2 linked regions of the Callithrix jacchus genome follow. The protein of the gene in region 2 binds, or shares a complex with, the protein of the main gene of each other region. Links are inferred from orthologs where the notes say so. Each region holds a gene or a part of one and is shown on either strand. Other genes may lie near its edges. The genes, in order: NPPA and NPR1.

Evidence for each region.
Region 1: the proteins of NPR1 (region 2) and NPPA are in contact, whole or in part, in a crystal structure (PDB 7BRG), measured with the Rattus norvegicus proteins. The link is inferred for Callithrix jacchus from reciprocal best matches to the Homo sapiens genes NPR1 and NPPA. Residues at the interface, in NP_036745.1 of Rattus norvegicus: Asp90, Val115, Tyr116, Ala119, Pro120, Arg123, Ala139, Leu140, Gly141, Ile142, Val144, Tyr148, Tyr182, Asp184, Leu186, Gly187, Asp188, Asp189, Arg190, Phe193, Phe194, Val196, Glu197, Tyr200, Met201, Arg204, His213, Gln214, Glu215, Phe216; in NP_036744.1 of Rattus norvegicus: Arg126, Ser127, Ser128, Cys129, Phe130, Gly131, Gly132, Arg133, Ile134, Asp135, Arg136, Ile137, Gly138, Ala139, Gln140, Ser141, Gly142, Leu143, Gly144, Cys145, Asn146, Ser147, Phe148, Arg149, Tyr150.

Annotation. Positions count from the first base shown.
Region 1 is NC_133508.1:49,726,977-49,734,376, forward strand, and holds NPPA (natriuretic peptides A), read right to left. Parts: upstream 4,583-7,400; 5' UTR 4,484-4,582; coding exon 4,361-4,483; intron 4,240-4,360; coding exon 3,913-4,239; intron 3,430-3,912; coding exon 3,418-3,429; 3' UTR 3,128-3,417; downstream 1-3,127.
Region 2 is NC_133519.1:14,104,648-14,112,145, reverse strand, and holds part of NPR1 (atrial natriuretic peptide receptor 1), read right to left. Parts: intron 7,042-7,498; coding exon 6,842-7,041; intron 6,325-6,841; coding exon 6,211-6,324; intron 5,655-6,210; coding exon 5,519-5,654; intron 4,544-5,518; coding exon 4,452-4,543; intron 3,669-4,451; coding exon 3,533-3,668; intron 3,148-3,532; coding exon 3,063-3,147; intron 2,247-3,062; coding exon 2,126-2,246; intron 1,410-2,125; coding exon 1,335-1,409; intron 1,095-1,334; coding exon 1,017-1,094; intron 546-1,016; coding exon 441-545; intron 1-440. UniProt on the Homo sapiens protein: Receptor for the atrial natriuretic peptide NPPA/ANP and the brain natriuretic peptide NPPB/BNP which are potent vasoactive hormones playing a key role in cardiovascular homeostasis.

The sequences.
Region 1 (7,400 bases), on a different chromosome or scaffold from region 2:
AGGGTTGGATCAGCAGCCGCTTGCTGACCTGGTGAATGTTGTTGGAATTCATCCCTCGTGCCCATCCTGTTGTGTTTAAGTCACCAGATATTTTGTTCCCATGAGTTTAGCACAGAGATAGGCAGTAGAATGCAAATGCCTCCCTCCCCTAAACTTACTGGGCGGCGGCCAAGGAGGCCCCAAACCCAGGCCCCATGCAAAGGCACATGGTTTCCTGTTCTCTCTGCATCTGCCCTTTCCAGATAAGTCCAAAGACAACAACTTCTCCACTCGTGACAGTAAACTGTAAGCCTCGCTCCTTCCATTTCTGTTCATTAGAAACCAGCCTTTCAGCATCTCACCCATTAGCAGCCCCATCACCGAGTGATAAGGCGCCTCAGTCAAACAGATCCTTGGATGGAGATCCTGCGTGTGGCTAGAGGTGGTGGTTTGTGTTTGGTCTCCAGCTTGGCGTCTCGTGGCTCCTAGGCGAGATGATTGGTGAGCAGGACTGAGGGGTCCCCGGCCCTGGCTGTGGGACCTTGTGCTGTGGGATGATTTGCTCATGACCTTGTTTAACAGTTCCCAGCTGGAAGGGACACTTTCTGGACTCAGCCCTGTGTATGACATTTGTGCTGCAGAATTAGGCACTGACAGGAGCCTGGGTGACAGGAAGGCCTCTCCGGCCCCGCAGTATTGACGTGCAGTATTGCCCCACGGCTCTGCGGACCTTGGCCATTGCCACCGTCGCAGCTTCCTTTTTCTGTTTGCACTGTTGGTTTGTATGATGTGAGCTAATTCCACTGTGTATATAAATTGTATTTTTTTTAATTTGTAAAATGCTATTTTTATTTGAACCTTTGGAACTTGGGAGTTCTCATTGTAACCATAACATGTCAGAATAAAATGTCTTCTGTCTCCTTTAGCCTTTTGTCTCCATGCTGCTCTTTCTTTCAAGGGGTACTTGGTTTTTATTTTATTCCCCCTGTTTCTGATGTGTGAAAATTACACTAGGACATGGCTTTATAGTCTCAGAGCTCTCCCTATGCAGCTGCCCAGCAGGGCTCTTCATCCATGGGAGTCCATTTCTCTGTACCAAGCAGCGACCTTAATAAGAACGGATTTCATCCTGTGGGTCTTAGTAGAAGTCAGCAGTATCTGTTTCTCCCTGATGAGCACTCTTCCCGATCCTGTCCTCTAGAAACCATCTCCTCCTGCTAGCAACAGCGTCCTGGAGCAGCAGATGGGGAATCCATTCTATTAGGAATATTTCCCGCAAGCAGATGCCCTAATGTCCAACCAGAAGTGAAACTGGCGCTGGATCTGGAGAGGTGGAGACCCGTGGCCAGCTTCTGTCGCTGCTATCTGCCATTGTGTTTTGGTTGCTTTCGGTTTTGCAAGAAGCATGGCCTCTGTCTCCCTCCGACCTGCTTCGAGTCATCATTCCATCAGAGACAGAAACAGTTGCAGTCAATTCAGGCCTAGCACCTAGCCCCAAGTATTCTGGAACTCCAGGGGTGTGTGTATTTGTCATGTCTATTCGATGAGAACTCCCTGTGTTACGGAGACGCCTTGGAAATGGGCCCAGCTGCTACTTCCCCTGCTGACAACTCGTAACACTGTAATACTGTGCCAGACCTCTGGAGCCAGGTTTGGGCCAGCACTGTCTCCTGTTGCTCTTAGCTTCATCCTTTTCATTCTCTATCTGCCTCCCAGTTTCTGCCCTTCAGTGTGTAAAGCCCAGATAGGGAACATTTTGATTGGAAGTGGTTAGATGAAGCTTTTTCCCCACCTTCACCCGCTGTCAGCAGTTCACGGGGACCCTCCCACTTTCCTCTGCAAGGAGCAAATTTCCATTTCCTTTCCTCTTTTCCCAATTTCTCGACAAGACCAAGGCAATTTGACCAACATTTAGGGGGCATCAACTCAGAGTGCCAAAGAGGCATTTGCCCTCAAAGAGCTTGCAGTCTAGGGACGTAGACAAGCAATTGCACACTGGCAGCTCATGTTGTGTGCTACTATTACTGTTACATGTGAAATGCTGCCTGTGAAGAGATTCGTTACTGGGCATGAGATATCAGGGAAGAAGTGGTGCTCACATGAGCCTTAAGGAATGAGTACAATGTCCTCGGGAGGACCAGAGGAAGGAAACCCAGGTGAAAGAAACAGAAATAAGGGCACAAGGGCACATGTGGGTGTGGGGTGTTGGAGTGCCATAGAATCTGATGAGAGGGTGGAGTCCATGGGTAACAGGTGGGAAGACAGGTCACTCTGTTTAAGGTGAACTTCAACCCTGGTTTTTTGTGCTCAGAACAATAGCCTTTTCAGGAGCAGATAGAAAAAGCCTGTATCTTCTCCAGTGGTTCTTATTTTAGTAAAATACAAGCCCAGGCCCTTTGGACCCGAATTAGTCAAAGACTTTGGCTATTTTCTAAATACTTGTTAGTACAACAAAGGCACATAAACTCAGTTTGTCTGCATGGCAAACCTGTCTTCACTGTGCTCAGTTTTTATTATATTTTTGAAACAAGTCTCATTCTGTCACTCAGGCTAGAGTGCAGTGGCATGATACCAGCTCACTGCAGCCTCCACCTCCTAGGCTCAAGCCATCGTCCCACCTTGGCCTCCCAAATAGCTGGAACTACAAGTGCACATCACCACACCTGGCTAATTTTTAATTTTTTTTTATAGAGATGGGGTCTCACTCTATTACTCAGGCTGGTCTTAAACTCCTGGGCTCAAGTGATTTGCCCATCTTGGCCTCCCAAAATGCTGGGATTATAGGAGTGAGCCACCATGCCTGGCCTGCTCAGCTTTTAAACTCAACACTCTGCCTATTCTTTTCAAAACTAAAAAGTACCATTAACTTATCTGTAGCATCTCTCTCGAAATGTATCAGAGAGGATCTAATTAAATACTTTCATTTTCTGAATGTCCCCCTCTAAAAACAATAAAAACCCGTGTAACCAGAAACCACTGTGGGTGGAATTTGAGGCCTCCCCAACGACCCACAGAAAAGGAGGGAGAAATGAAAGGAAAAAGAAAAGTTGAGCATTTGTTTTTCTCTGACAAAGAGTAAAATGACAAGGAAAATCAAGCTGAACTCTGCCCGGAGACGGAAGAAATCACACCAATGTGGGCATCTGTCTTCTGTCCATGGTGCTGAAATTTATTCACTTTCAAATCACTTTCAGTAACAGGTGAGGTTCTACCTTAAAATTTAATGCATGGGGTGGGAGAGGCGAGGAAGCCACAATCAAACCACTTCATCTACAGTTAGCATAAAATATGAGAAGTGTTGACAGGAAGCCACAGCTTGGATTGGATGATCACAACTCCAGGGCAATGAGATGACACGAAGTTGCAGGAGAGACCCCAGGGGACAAGAGTCTCTTGCCATCTGCCCCAGGGCCCAGCCCTCCTTGTCCTCCCTGGCTGTTATCTTCGGTACTACAAAGAGAACACAGACATATCTAGCGTGGTGACCTGGCTGTACTGGAAATGTCAGCTTCATTTATGAATGTGCCCATCCTCTGACCTTGATTACTGATCACCTTCCCACCAGCCCCCATCCTGCCTGACGACTCTCTGAGCTTCATGAATTGATAAGCAAGTTACTCAGCAGAGTAAATGTCACTTAAGCCCTTCAGGATCTTACAGTTCTGGAGAGGAACATGAACTGCTAATCAGCCATGCAAAGATAACTTGGACCTATGGATATTTTAATTTCCTAGTGCTAGTGGCAGTCACTTTTTTTTTTTTTTTTTTTAGCATTTTCTCAGCAGACTGTAGCTGAGGATGATAGATGGTGTGTCCTGACACCTATGGGGCACTCATGGTGTTGGGGCAGAAACTTCGGAGGGAATAATTCCTGCTAAAGGTGTCTCCCAATAGTGTTCATCCCATTCCATTTCCATCCCCAGTTCCTCTTACCCGGAAGCTGTTACAGCCCAGTCCGCTCTGGGCTCCAATTCTGTCCATCCTGCCCCCAAAGCAACTGGATCTCCGCAGGCTCCGTGGGGCAGTGAGCAACGCCCTCAGCTTGCTTTTTAGGAGCGCAGATCTATCGGAGGAGTCCCAGGGGCCCCGCCCGAAGGCACCCCCATCTCTCTGGGCTGGGCTGACATCCCCAGTCCAGGGAGGCACCTCAGGGAGGGGGCTGAGGGCAGCCCCCGCTTCTTCATTCTGCTCACTGAGCACTTGTGGGGGCACGACCTCATCTTCTAAAGGCATCTTTTCTTCCAAATGGTCCAGCAAATTCTTTACAAAAGAAAAATACAAGGAAAGGGATAAGCCTCATTGACTTGGAGAAAATCAAGAGGAACGAGAACAGCATCAAAAGTCCCCTGGCCCCAGACTGCACCCACTTTCCTGGTCCTACCTTGAAATCCATCAGGTCTGCGTTGGACATGGCATTGTACACGGGGTTAGCTCTGGTCTGAGCTGGAAGCTGGAATGCCAGAAAGAAGAGGAAGCTCACGGTGACAGTGGAGAAGGAGCCCATGCTGGTGTAGTCAAGGAGCGATCGACTGCTTGCTGCTCTGTCTCTCCCCTCTGGTTCCTCTCTAGTTCCCCTCTCCTGGCCTACGTCCGTCCCTGTCTCCAAACTGCCCAGCACCTCCTCTTTTTATAGTCCTCCCAACTCTTCAAGCACGCAGGAAAGATAGAACCCTCCCCATTCTGTCACTTGCAGTGATAAAGCAGCCGAGAGAGAAGCCAGCAGGAGATGCCCTTTTAAAGTTATCATCCCACAGGGCTTGTCACAGCCCCTCTGCCTCGGGCAGCCCCAACAGCCCCCCAGACCCTCAGCTGCAAGAGCTGAATTCTTGCTGATTTGACTCAAGAGGCTCCCACTTCAAAGGTGTGGGAAGAGCAAAAAAGAGTCCTTGGTTATCTCACCGCCATGCCTCAGGATTCTTTCTCCTCAACACTGGTACCCATGCAGGGAAACAGAGGGTGATATTTGGCTGGTGCCCAGCTCCCCCAGGCTTGTCTGTGGCTCAGCTGTCAGGGCCTCCAAATAAGGGTGGAGAGGAGAAAATGGCAAGCAGCCAGCAGCCTGAGACAAATGGGTCCAGAGGCTCAAGCTGGCCTCACACCTGCCTCATCTGCCACGTGGCCTAAAACAAGGCCGCCCTCACCCCTGGCCGTCTGTCCCTCTCCATGGTCAGGTGAAAAGGAGTTATTTGTTAGAATATGAAGTCAGCCAAGAACCAAATGTGATGAAGCTCCCAAGAATTCAACCCCCAAACAGAAATATCAAGAAAAGCCGGGGGAGCACAAGCATCCACTCTCTAAAGCTCCTCCTCCTCCACATCCCCCGTGACCCTCCTCCAACCTGCAGTGGGGATAGGCTTTGAGAACACAGCCAATTTCATTTCATCTCTTGCAATTTATAGACACTCAGACTTGTACGGCTCCCTGCCCTTCCTGGACTTGTGCCCATGGCCACTTGGTCAATGAAGGGAGGGAGGTGGGAATGAAGGAGGTATAGTCAGTTTCCCTCAGTGCCCTCCACCTCATTCCCTGAGGCTAGGAAAGTGACTGAGCCACCAAGGTCACAATCTTCCTGACCCCCAAAAGAGAAATAACAGGCAGCGAGTCTGTCTATGGTGTTTGTTTTTTGTTTTTAGGGTTTTTTTTTTTTGAGACAGAGTCTCACTCTGTCACCAGGCTGGAGTGCAGTGGCATGATCTTGGCTCATTGCAACCTCCACCTCTCGGGTTCAAGCGATTCTCCTGCCTCAGCCTTCTGAGTAGCTGGGACTACAGGCACACACCACCATGCCAAGCTAATTTTTGTATTTTTAGTGGAGATGGGCTTTCTCCATGTTGGCCAGGATGGTCTCCATCTCTTGACCTCATGGTCCACCCGCTCAGCCTCCCAAAGTGCTGGGATTACAGGCATGAGCCACTGCACCCGGCCAAGTCCAGCTATGTCTAATGAATGGCCTGTTTGCTAAGCACGGAACTCAGTGTTAGCCCTTACCATTCAATGCAATGTATACTTGGGGAAAACACTAAATTTGAAGGGTTGAGAGACCTGCACTTCAGCCCAAAACAAACCAGTTGCTTACATCTTCATGGCCTTATTTTCCTGTGTGTAAAATGAAAAAGAATGTAAAAACCGGCTGGGCGCAGTGGCTCATGCCTATAATCCCAGCACTTTGGGAGGCCAAGGTGGGTGGATCACCTGAAGCCAGGAGTTCGAGACCAGCCTGGCCAACATGACAAAACTCTGTCTCTACTAAAAATTTAAAAATCAGTTGGGCACGGTGGCACGTGCCTGTAATCCCAACTACTAAGGAAGCTGAGGTAAAAGAATTGCTTGACTGTTGGAAGCAGAGGTTGTAGTGAACCAAGATGGCACCACTGCACTCCAGCCTGGGCAACAGAGTAAGACTTGGTCTCAAAAAATATAAATAAATAAAGTAGAAACCTTCCCTGCCTACCTTGGGTTGGCAGGGTTGTTGTGGAGCCCAAGTCAGCTGAAAAAGTGTAAACACGTATCAAGTGTGCAGTGCTGAGTCCCTGCAAGATGGCCATGATAGTTGTCTTTATTGATTGCTTATAACATGCCCGGCACATGACTGAGAGCTTTATGGAAATGATTTTATTTTGATCACCATCCCCAGGCAATAGATATCATTGTCCTTACTTACAAAGGCACAGAACTGAGCCTGAGAGGCTATGCCACTTGCCCAAGGCCGCCAAGTGCCTAAGTGGCCGAACCAAGACTGGAACTCCAGGTCTGACATTGATGTCCGTATCTTAGTTTATTTCACATAGAGTACAGCCTCCTCATCCCTTAGCTGCATTCCCCAATTAAACCCTCATTCCTTATCTTTCAGATGCCCCAAGGGAAGTCCTTCACCTTCCCTGTGTCCCTGGGACTATAGCTTTCTGTGCGCTTACCAAGTCTGTTTCTGTTCGGCTGCTCTTCTGATCTATTTCTATACCGAATGTGTTTTAATCCACTCTTCGGAAGCTCAGAAAACATGTGTTGAGTGACCAGCTCTGTCCTGGCCAGATCTGTCCCTAGCTGTGTTGACCTCATGCTTGACTAGGTGGTCAGGGCGTTGTGCAGCCGTAAAGTTGGAAATCAGGGCAGCAAGTGGCCGGAGGTCACAAGAGGTATCCAGGGTAATATTATTCTAAGACAAGATAAAAGAGGCCCTCTTTGGCAAGCCTTGGGGGATGTGTGTTTGGGGGGATCTAATATTTCACGGCGTGGTTAGAAGCAGCCTGTAGGAGTGAGAGAGAAGAAAAGTAACAGACACAGATTTGGCAATTGATTTGGGTCAGCCAAGCTCAACTTGAAATCTGAAGTGGGTGCAATCCTTTTTTTTTTTTTTTTAAATAAAGACAGGGTCTTGCTATATTGCCCAGGCTGGTTTTGAACTCTTGGGCTTAAGTATTCCT
Region 2 (7,498 bases):
CATGGTGAAATACCATCTCTACTAAAAACACAAAAATTAGCCTGGAGTGGTGGCGTGCGCCTGTAGTCCCAGCTACTCAGGAGGCTGAGGCAGGAGAATTGCTTGAACCCAGAAGGTGGAGGTTGCAGTGAGCCGAGATCTTGTCACTGCACTCCACCCTGGGTGACAGAGCAAGACTCTGTCTCAAAAAAAAAAAAAGAGTCAGACCAATCCCCTGCAGAGCCCCACTAGGAGTTGGAGGAGGGTTCAGGGGTCCTACTGACAGGAACTGGTACGACAGGCTAAAACTCTGGATTGACACAGCCCTCCCCCAGCTCCCATTTTACTGATGGGGCCAGAAAGGTCAGAAAGAGGGCAAGGCATGCCTGGGGTCTGATGGCCAGTCAGGGGCAGAGACAGGGCTAGAACCCAAGTTTCTGGATGCCCCATGTCCCCCTCACCTGCAGGCTCCCACGGGGACAGTACTCTGTGAGGATGCAGATGTTGGGGGGGTCGGTGCAGGCTCCCACAAACCTGGTCAGGTGTTCATTCTGCACATCCCGCATCTGCAGATGAGACCAACATCAGGAGCTTGGCGGAGACCTCACTCCTCGCCAAGCTGCTGGCTAGCCTCAGGGACCTTCACTCTTCTTTCTCCTCCCCCACTCTTCTTAACTCCTTATTCATTTTCTGCAACCATCACTAGGATCTTCCCTGATGATTCCCACCCATGTCGTTTAGCCCACCCTCCCCAGAATCTGCTCCTACTCCCTCTACCTCCTAAGCCCTCTCCCCCTCAGGGACATCACATATGGCCTCTCAAGATTCCTCCAGGGTATCTCCAGTGGTCCCTTCTCCTAGCTTGGGATCTAAGGATTCCCCCACTCCCACCCACAAGATGAAGGTCCTTCCCAGGGCTCCAGTCCTTGCCCTTTCTTGAGTACCCTGAGATCCCTCCATAACTAGTTCTGTTGGCCAATCTCCCTTGTGTCCCTGAGGGCCCCTTCTCCATGCCACTGCCTCACTCCCCACATTACATGCTTCAGCTCAAACAGGACTTTTCGTGTCAGCTCAATGCGTTTACGGTTCACACGTTTCACAGCCACGAGGTTGCCCTGGGCATGGAATGGAGACTGTCACTGTGAAGAGCATGGCCCGGTGTCCTGGAATTCCAGCTACTCCCGACAGCCCATCCCTGCCCTCAGGACCCTCACTTGTTCCCAGTAGCCCACCCCTGGGGTCCGCATCTGCTGCTCCCCACCAGCTTACTCCTTCCCTCAGGACCCCCACCAGTCCTCCATCAGAGGACACTCCTGCCCCAGTCCCAAGGCCCGGTGATCTTTCCCCAGGCCTACCTTATAATATGCTGTCTTGGCAAAGACTTGGAACTGGCCCTCTGTGGTTAGCAGGGAGCCGTAATTGGAGCCTCTCTGAAAGGAGGGAGAGCGGGAGGAATGGTCACCCGGTGGAGCCAGTCTGCATCCTGATTGCTTGTGCTCTGTTCTTTATTGCCCTGCCTTACTCTGTCTTGCCTTTGCGTCATCCTTCCTTTTCGTTGTTTTTTTAGATGGATTCTTGCTCTATCGTCCAGGCTGGAGTGCAGCAGTGCTATCCTAGCTCACTGTCCAGCAGCCTCAGACTCCTGGGCTCAGATGATCCTCCCACCTCAGCCTCCAGAGTAACTGGGGCTATAGGCATGCGCCATCATGCCCGGCTAATTTTTGTATTCTTTGTAGAGATGATGTCTTGCTCTGTTGCCCAGGCTGGTCTTGAACTCCTAGGCACAAGCAATCCTCCTGCCTCAGCCTCCCAAAGTGCTGGGATTGCAGATGTGAGCCACTGCGCCTGACCCACCCTGCTTTATGTTCGAATCATAAATCTCCTCCTCATTTACTTGCTTTTTTTAAAAAAATGTGTTTTCACATGTACTATCTCCTCTGACCTTTAAAAGAGCCCTGTGAGGGAGGCTCTGCAGCTGTGATCATCATCTGAGACAGTCTCAGAGAGGGAATATGAGTCGCTCAAGGTCACACAGCAAGTGAAGGCAGAGCTGGGACTAGAATCTTGCTCCCTTCCCTATCCCTCAGGTACTGCCCCTGCACCCAGCTCTCATTTATTGCCTCCACACAAACACCAGTGTTCTTACCCCGCTCAGAGTCAGCCGGCTACCCGCACTCCGCAGGTGCCTCTCAAGGCTACTGGGCTCGACATCCTCCCAGCGCACCCGCCACAGCTCCGAGGCCAGTTCCTTCTCCAGCTGCATCTTCCTGGGGCATGAAGGCTGCATCTGAGCCTGTGGCTGAGCCCCTGACCTAGGACAGGGTGCTCCACAGCCCCTCCTCAGAGGCATGGAATCACATCATGGACTCAGAGATGGAGGGGAAATTCTATCCTCTGGACTGAGAATCAGGATGCCTGGGGGAAATTCTGTCTCACTGGGGACCTTGGGGGAATCACCTCAATGTCTGCATTTGGTAAAGAGGCCTCAATATCTATTTCATTCTTAACTATTATAAGAATGAAAAGAAATAGTGTATGTGGAAGTGCCTGGCACATATTACATGTTCAACTAGCAGTGATTTTATCCCCTCCCTCCTTGCTTTTGTGTATCATTAACTCCTCCTGCACTGCATTTTAGCCTCCACCGGACGGCAGGAATGGGGCTTATTCAACTCCCTTCTCCACTCTAGATTGAGCACCTGGCACACACCAGGGCTCGCCACCCTGCTCAGTAACATGGGCATGATCCCGAAAGTTCAGAACATTGCTTCCCATCTGGCCGGCGAGAGTAGCAAGGGAAACCAGTCCATGCCCCTATGATGTCACCCGTCAACTTGTCTGCTTCCTGGATATCTCTGACTTTCCTTGGCCATTCCTAGCCCAGTCTCTTCCCCTTGCCCTGCCATTTCCTTCTCTTTCTCTCTCCTCTGTCTTTTAAGTCTCCTTTATTCCTCATCTCCCTTGGTTTTCCCCTGCTGTCCCTTCATCCCTGTCCTCTTCCCTTTGGGTCCCCACCACCTCCTCTGCTATTGGTTCTCCAGGTCCTCCAGCCACATTCACCGCCTCCCCACATCACAGCTCACCTGTATATGAAGAAGGAGACAATCAGAATGCCGAGCAAGGAGAGGCTGCCCACCAAAGCCAGCACCTCCAGGGTGGAAAGGTGATCTGCAGGAGAGAGTCCGAATTGCAGCAAGAGAGATTTGGGTTAGACAACAGAAGGAAGAACTTTCTTTTTTTTTTAATTTTTATTTTTTAAAGACGGGGTTTCACCATGTTGGTCTGGCTGGTCTTGAACTCCCGACCTCAGGTGATCCACCCGCCTTGGCCTCCAAAGTGCTTGGATTACAGGCGTGAGCCACCACGCCCAGCCGTGGAGGAAGAAGTTTCTAATAGCCCATCAGTGAACTGGGATGATGGATGAAGGGAAGAAAAAGGCAGGAATCATTCTCAAGAAAGCCCTCATCGAGGGAGAGGAGCACCTACTCAACTGTGCTTAGGGGAAGGAGGCTGCATCTCTGGGATGGAGACCTGGAAGGCGAGGGCCAGTCACCTTGGTTGCATGCTGGGTCTTCGTTGTCAAAGCCACATTTGGGGACGTCGGGAGGAGGGTACCCCAGGGGCCAGCTCAATTTGCGCCCCGACACAGCCACCAGCTCTTGGGAAGTCCCATTGTAGTTCAGTACAACCTATGGGAGAGCAGGAGTGGTGGCTAGGCCAGGGCCTGAGGGGAAGGCTGCTGTGTAGCACAGCAATGTCACCTCCTACCTACCCCAGCTCTGCTTCCAGAGCTTATATATGTCTGGGTTGTCACCTGTTTACCAAGCCCCTGCTGCAACTGGATACTGGACCTCATACCACACACGTATTATTCAAGTGGAAACACCTGACAACTATCAAGAATTTTTACAAAGAAAACTCCATATAGAACCCAATGTCTACACTCAGGGAGTTTATAATCTTGGTTGAGGCACCAACCAAGCATTGATTTTTCTCTACCTATTTTCTTGGTAGAAAACAGAATAAGGCCGTGTTCACCTCAGCCTACATCCCCAGGCCCAATCCATGTGCCCCTCTTCCAGGAAACCTTCTCTGGATGACCTGTCCCTTGCTGCCATCGGTCTCAGTGGCTTCCTGTCCTCACTCACTTGTAGAGGTGTGTAATGTGCATCCTTTGTGACCCTGCCTCTGCTGGGAGGCGGTCCTGCCTGCTTCCCTTCGGAGCTCTCTGAGGCCAGGGTTGTGCTCTCTCCTCAGGCATGGGGCTCCCCAAGTGTGATGCCTGTGGGTCCCTATCGTTCTGGTGGCTTTCCCAGACTGGAGCTGGGTCTGTCTTATTCAGGGCTCTCGTAAGTGTCCAGGCACGGTAGAGTGGCTACAGGATAAAAGGTGCCCTGGTAAGGCTGTGGGGGGAAGTAGGAGGGTGAGATGCCATTTGGAGTTGGCACTGTCTTCTGGGTGCACAAACTTACCCTGAAGGCACCAGTCTCGGGATCCATATCCCAGAGGGAGAAGTCTGTTTCCCGATCACCACTGCTATCAATTTTCAGGTGTCCTGTCACACCTGAGGACACAGGGGAAGATGACTGTGTGGGAGAGAATGGAAGTTCAGCGGTATCCCACTTCATCTCTTCATCCTCTCATCTTTTTTGCCTTGCCTTCCAAACATACATGCATACAGAATGACAGTAAATGGTAAAAGGGCCGGGCACTGTGGCTCATGCCTGTAATCTCAGCGTTTTGGGAGGCTGAGGCAAGCGAATCACCTGAGGTCAGAAGTTTGAGACTAGCCTGCCAACATGAAACCCTGTCTCAACTAAAAAAACCTGCCAGTGTCCTCCTCCATCATCAGGAAAGACATGGAACAATGGGAAGGGAGGGAGGGTGATAACTGGGAATTGGGAAGGATGGAAGCTGGCAGAGGATCGTGGAGTGGGGGCTCAAGTTCCACGCTGGAGGGTCCCAGAACCTCTGGCTCTTTATATGTAATGATTTTGGCAGCCTGAGGAAGGGGTCAGTGGAGAGCGGAGAATTGGGAGCTGACTCTATGCCCGCAGTACTGTGGGGCCCCAACAGTCAGGAGCCCACCTCCCAGAGCTAGGTCTCTGCTTAGCTCAAGGTCAAACAGGACCCTATGCTCTGCAAGAAGTGATGCCCATCCCCCAAAAATACAAAAAATTAGCCAGGTGTGGTGGCGGACACCTGTAATCCCAACTACTCAGGAGGCTGAGGCAGGAGAATCGCTTGAACCTGGGAGTTGGAGGTTGCAGTGAGCTGAGATCTAGCCACTGCATTCCAGCCTTGGGAACAGAACGAGACTCCATCTCAAAAATAAAATAAAATAAAAGGATCCAGTGCCCAGCAGGGATGATTGAGGTTGGACACTCAGTAGGACTTCTGGAGGGATGCGCCTGAGAAAAAGCTGTGGAGGAAAAGGCTGGTGTGCACTGGTGACTCTGTGCTACAGACTTCTCACGACAGTGGGCACCTGGGATTCATCCCCCAAGGCTGCCCATTCCAGCCACCTCAAGGCCCTGACCTTGAAAGCTTCGGTTCCACATCCGCTGAGTGATGTTCTCCCCATCAGTGACAGTTCCTCCATGTGCCAGAGTCTCCGTCACTGCCTGGACATAGAGCAGCAGCCCATCATGGAAGGACGCTGGGATGGTGTTCACCTGTGGGGGCAAGCAGAGGTTGGCTGGGGTGAGGTGAATGAAGGGCATGGAGTTGGGGGCTGTGGGGAAGGGAATGAGAGGCACTGGGAGTTTGGAAGAGGATAGGAGAAAATAACACCCCTACATCACTGGGAGATTTTACTATTTATTTATTTTTGTTGTTGGTACCAACAGACTATTTAGATTTTACTATTTAAATGATGCCTTTGGATTAGCATCGCTTCCTGAATCACACTAGGCACACAGGGCGGGATGTATCATCTCTGTATTATGGATGGTAACCTGAGTTTCAGAGGCTGAACTTGCCAGTGTCCTCCTTCATCATCAGGAGGAGGCACTGATGATGCCTTGGAGTTGGCCCTGTCTTCCGGATGCACGAACTTACCCTGAAGGCACCAGTCTTGGGATTCACATCCCAGAGGGATAAGTCGGGAGAGACATGGAACAATGGGAAGGGAAGGAAGGGGAGAACTGGGAAGAGGGAATGGAGGCTGGCAGAGGGTCGTGGAGTGGGGGCTGAAGGTCCACGCTGTAGGGTCCCGGTACCTCTTCTTACCAGGCCGTCCTCCATGGTGAAGTTGAACTGCTCCCGGGCCAGGTGTTTTAGCTGCTTCAGGAATTCCAAGTACTCGGGATTATCTGGTTCTTTATATGTAATGATTTTGACAGCCTGAGGAAGCGGTCGGCAGAGAGCAGAGAGTTGGGAGCTGACTCTATCCCCGCAGTACCATGGGGCCCCAACAGTTAGAGCCCACCTCCCAGAGCTGGGTCTCCGCTTAGCTCAAGGTCAAACTGAACCCTATTCCCCGCATGAAGTGATGCCCATTCCAAAGCAGGGAATCCAAAGGGATGGCTTCTCCAAGTCCTGTCCAGACAGTGGGACTTTAACCTCCTCCCCTCTAAAGCCCATTTTCTTCTTTTTAGCCTGCTGGTGCTCAAGCGCCCCGGCTAGTCCCCTGCCTTTCACTGCCTAATTCCCAGAGAGCATCACCAACCACTTTTCTGTTCTGTGAGTTACCATGAGTGCATGAAGAAACAAACAGACCAAACCTTTTTTTTCTGGAATTCTTTCAGACACTGAGGGACACAGTGCCCAGAAATGACGTGCCACAAGCTGAGATGGCCTGAGCTTCAAACCTAGGTACTAACTTCAAACCTAGGTACTCACCTCAAACCTAGGTACTCACCTGAAAGGCTTGGCGGGCACTGACATCCTGCCCATCTCCTCTCTCCCAGGGCCTGCGGGGAACAGGGCCCTGTCCACCTTGCAGGCTTTGCCCAAAGATATCCAGGTGAAAGAAAACGTAGTCCTCCCCACTCAAGCCAGCTTCCAGGGCCAGAAGCATAAGGGCTCTGAAGGCATCAGGCGAGCTGCAGATGTAGATAACTGCAGAAAAAGGAGTATTCAGAGAGAGAAGCCTAGGTACTGTGGGAGAGACAGGGCTAGGAAAGCGGAGGCACCGAGGGGAGGAGGTTAGAGATGGGGGGCAGGAGAAGCCCGGTGAGAGTTAAGTGGCAACCCGGCTCAGCCTAGACCACGGCAGGGCAGGAGAAAGACGAAGGGTCGAAGGCGATGTGGGGGGCGGAAGAGAGGAAGGGACAGATATGGAGAGGGGAATAGTGGAGCTGAAGGTAGAGAAGGGTGGGGCCAGGAGGGCGACAGGAGCGAGGGCGGGGGGCGGTGCGGAGAGGACTTTGAGGAGCGACGGGAAGAGAGGATGAAGGTGGGGAGAAGGCTATAGGGAAGCGAGAAAATGCGGGAGATAAAAAGGGACCGGAACTGAGCTTTGCCAGGGTTGGAGGGAGTGAGTGGGGGTCGGGGAGGTGAGAGTATAGAGGCGCGG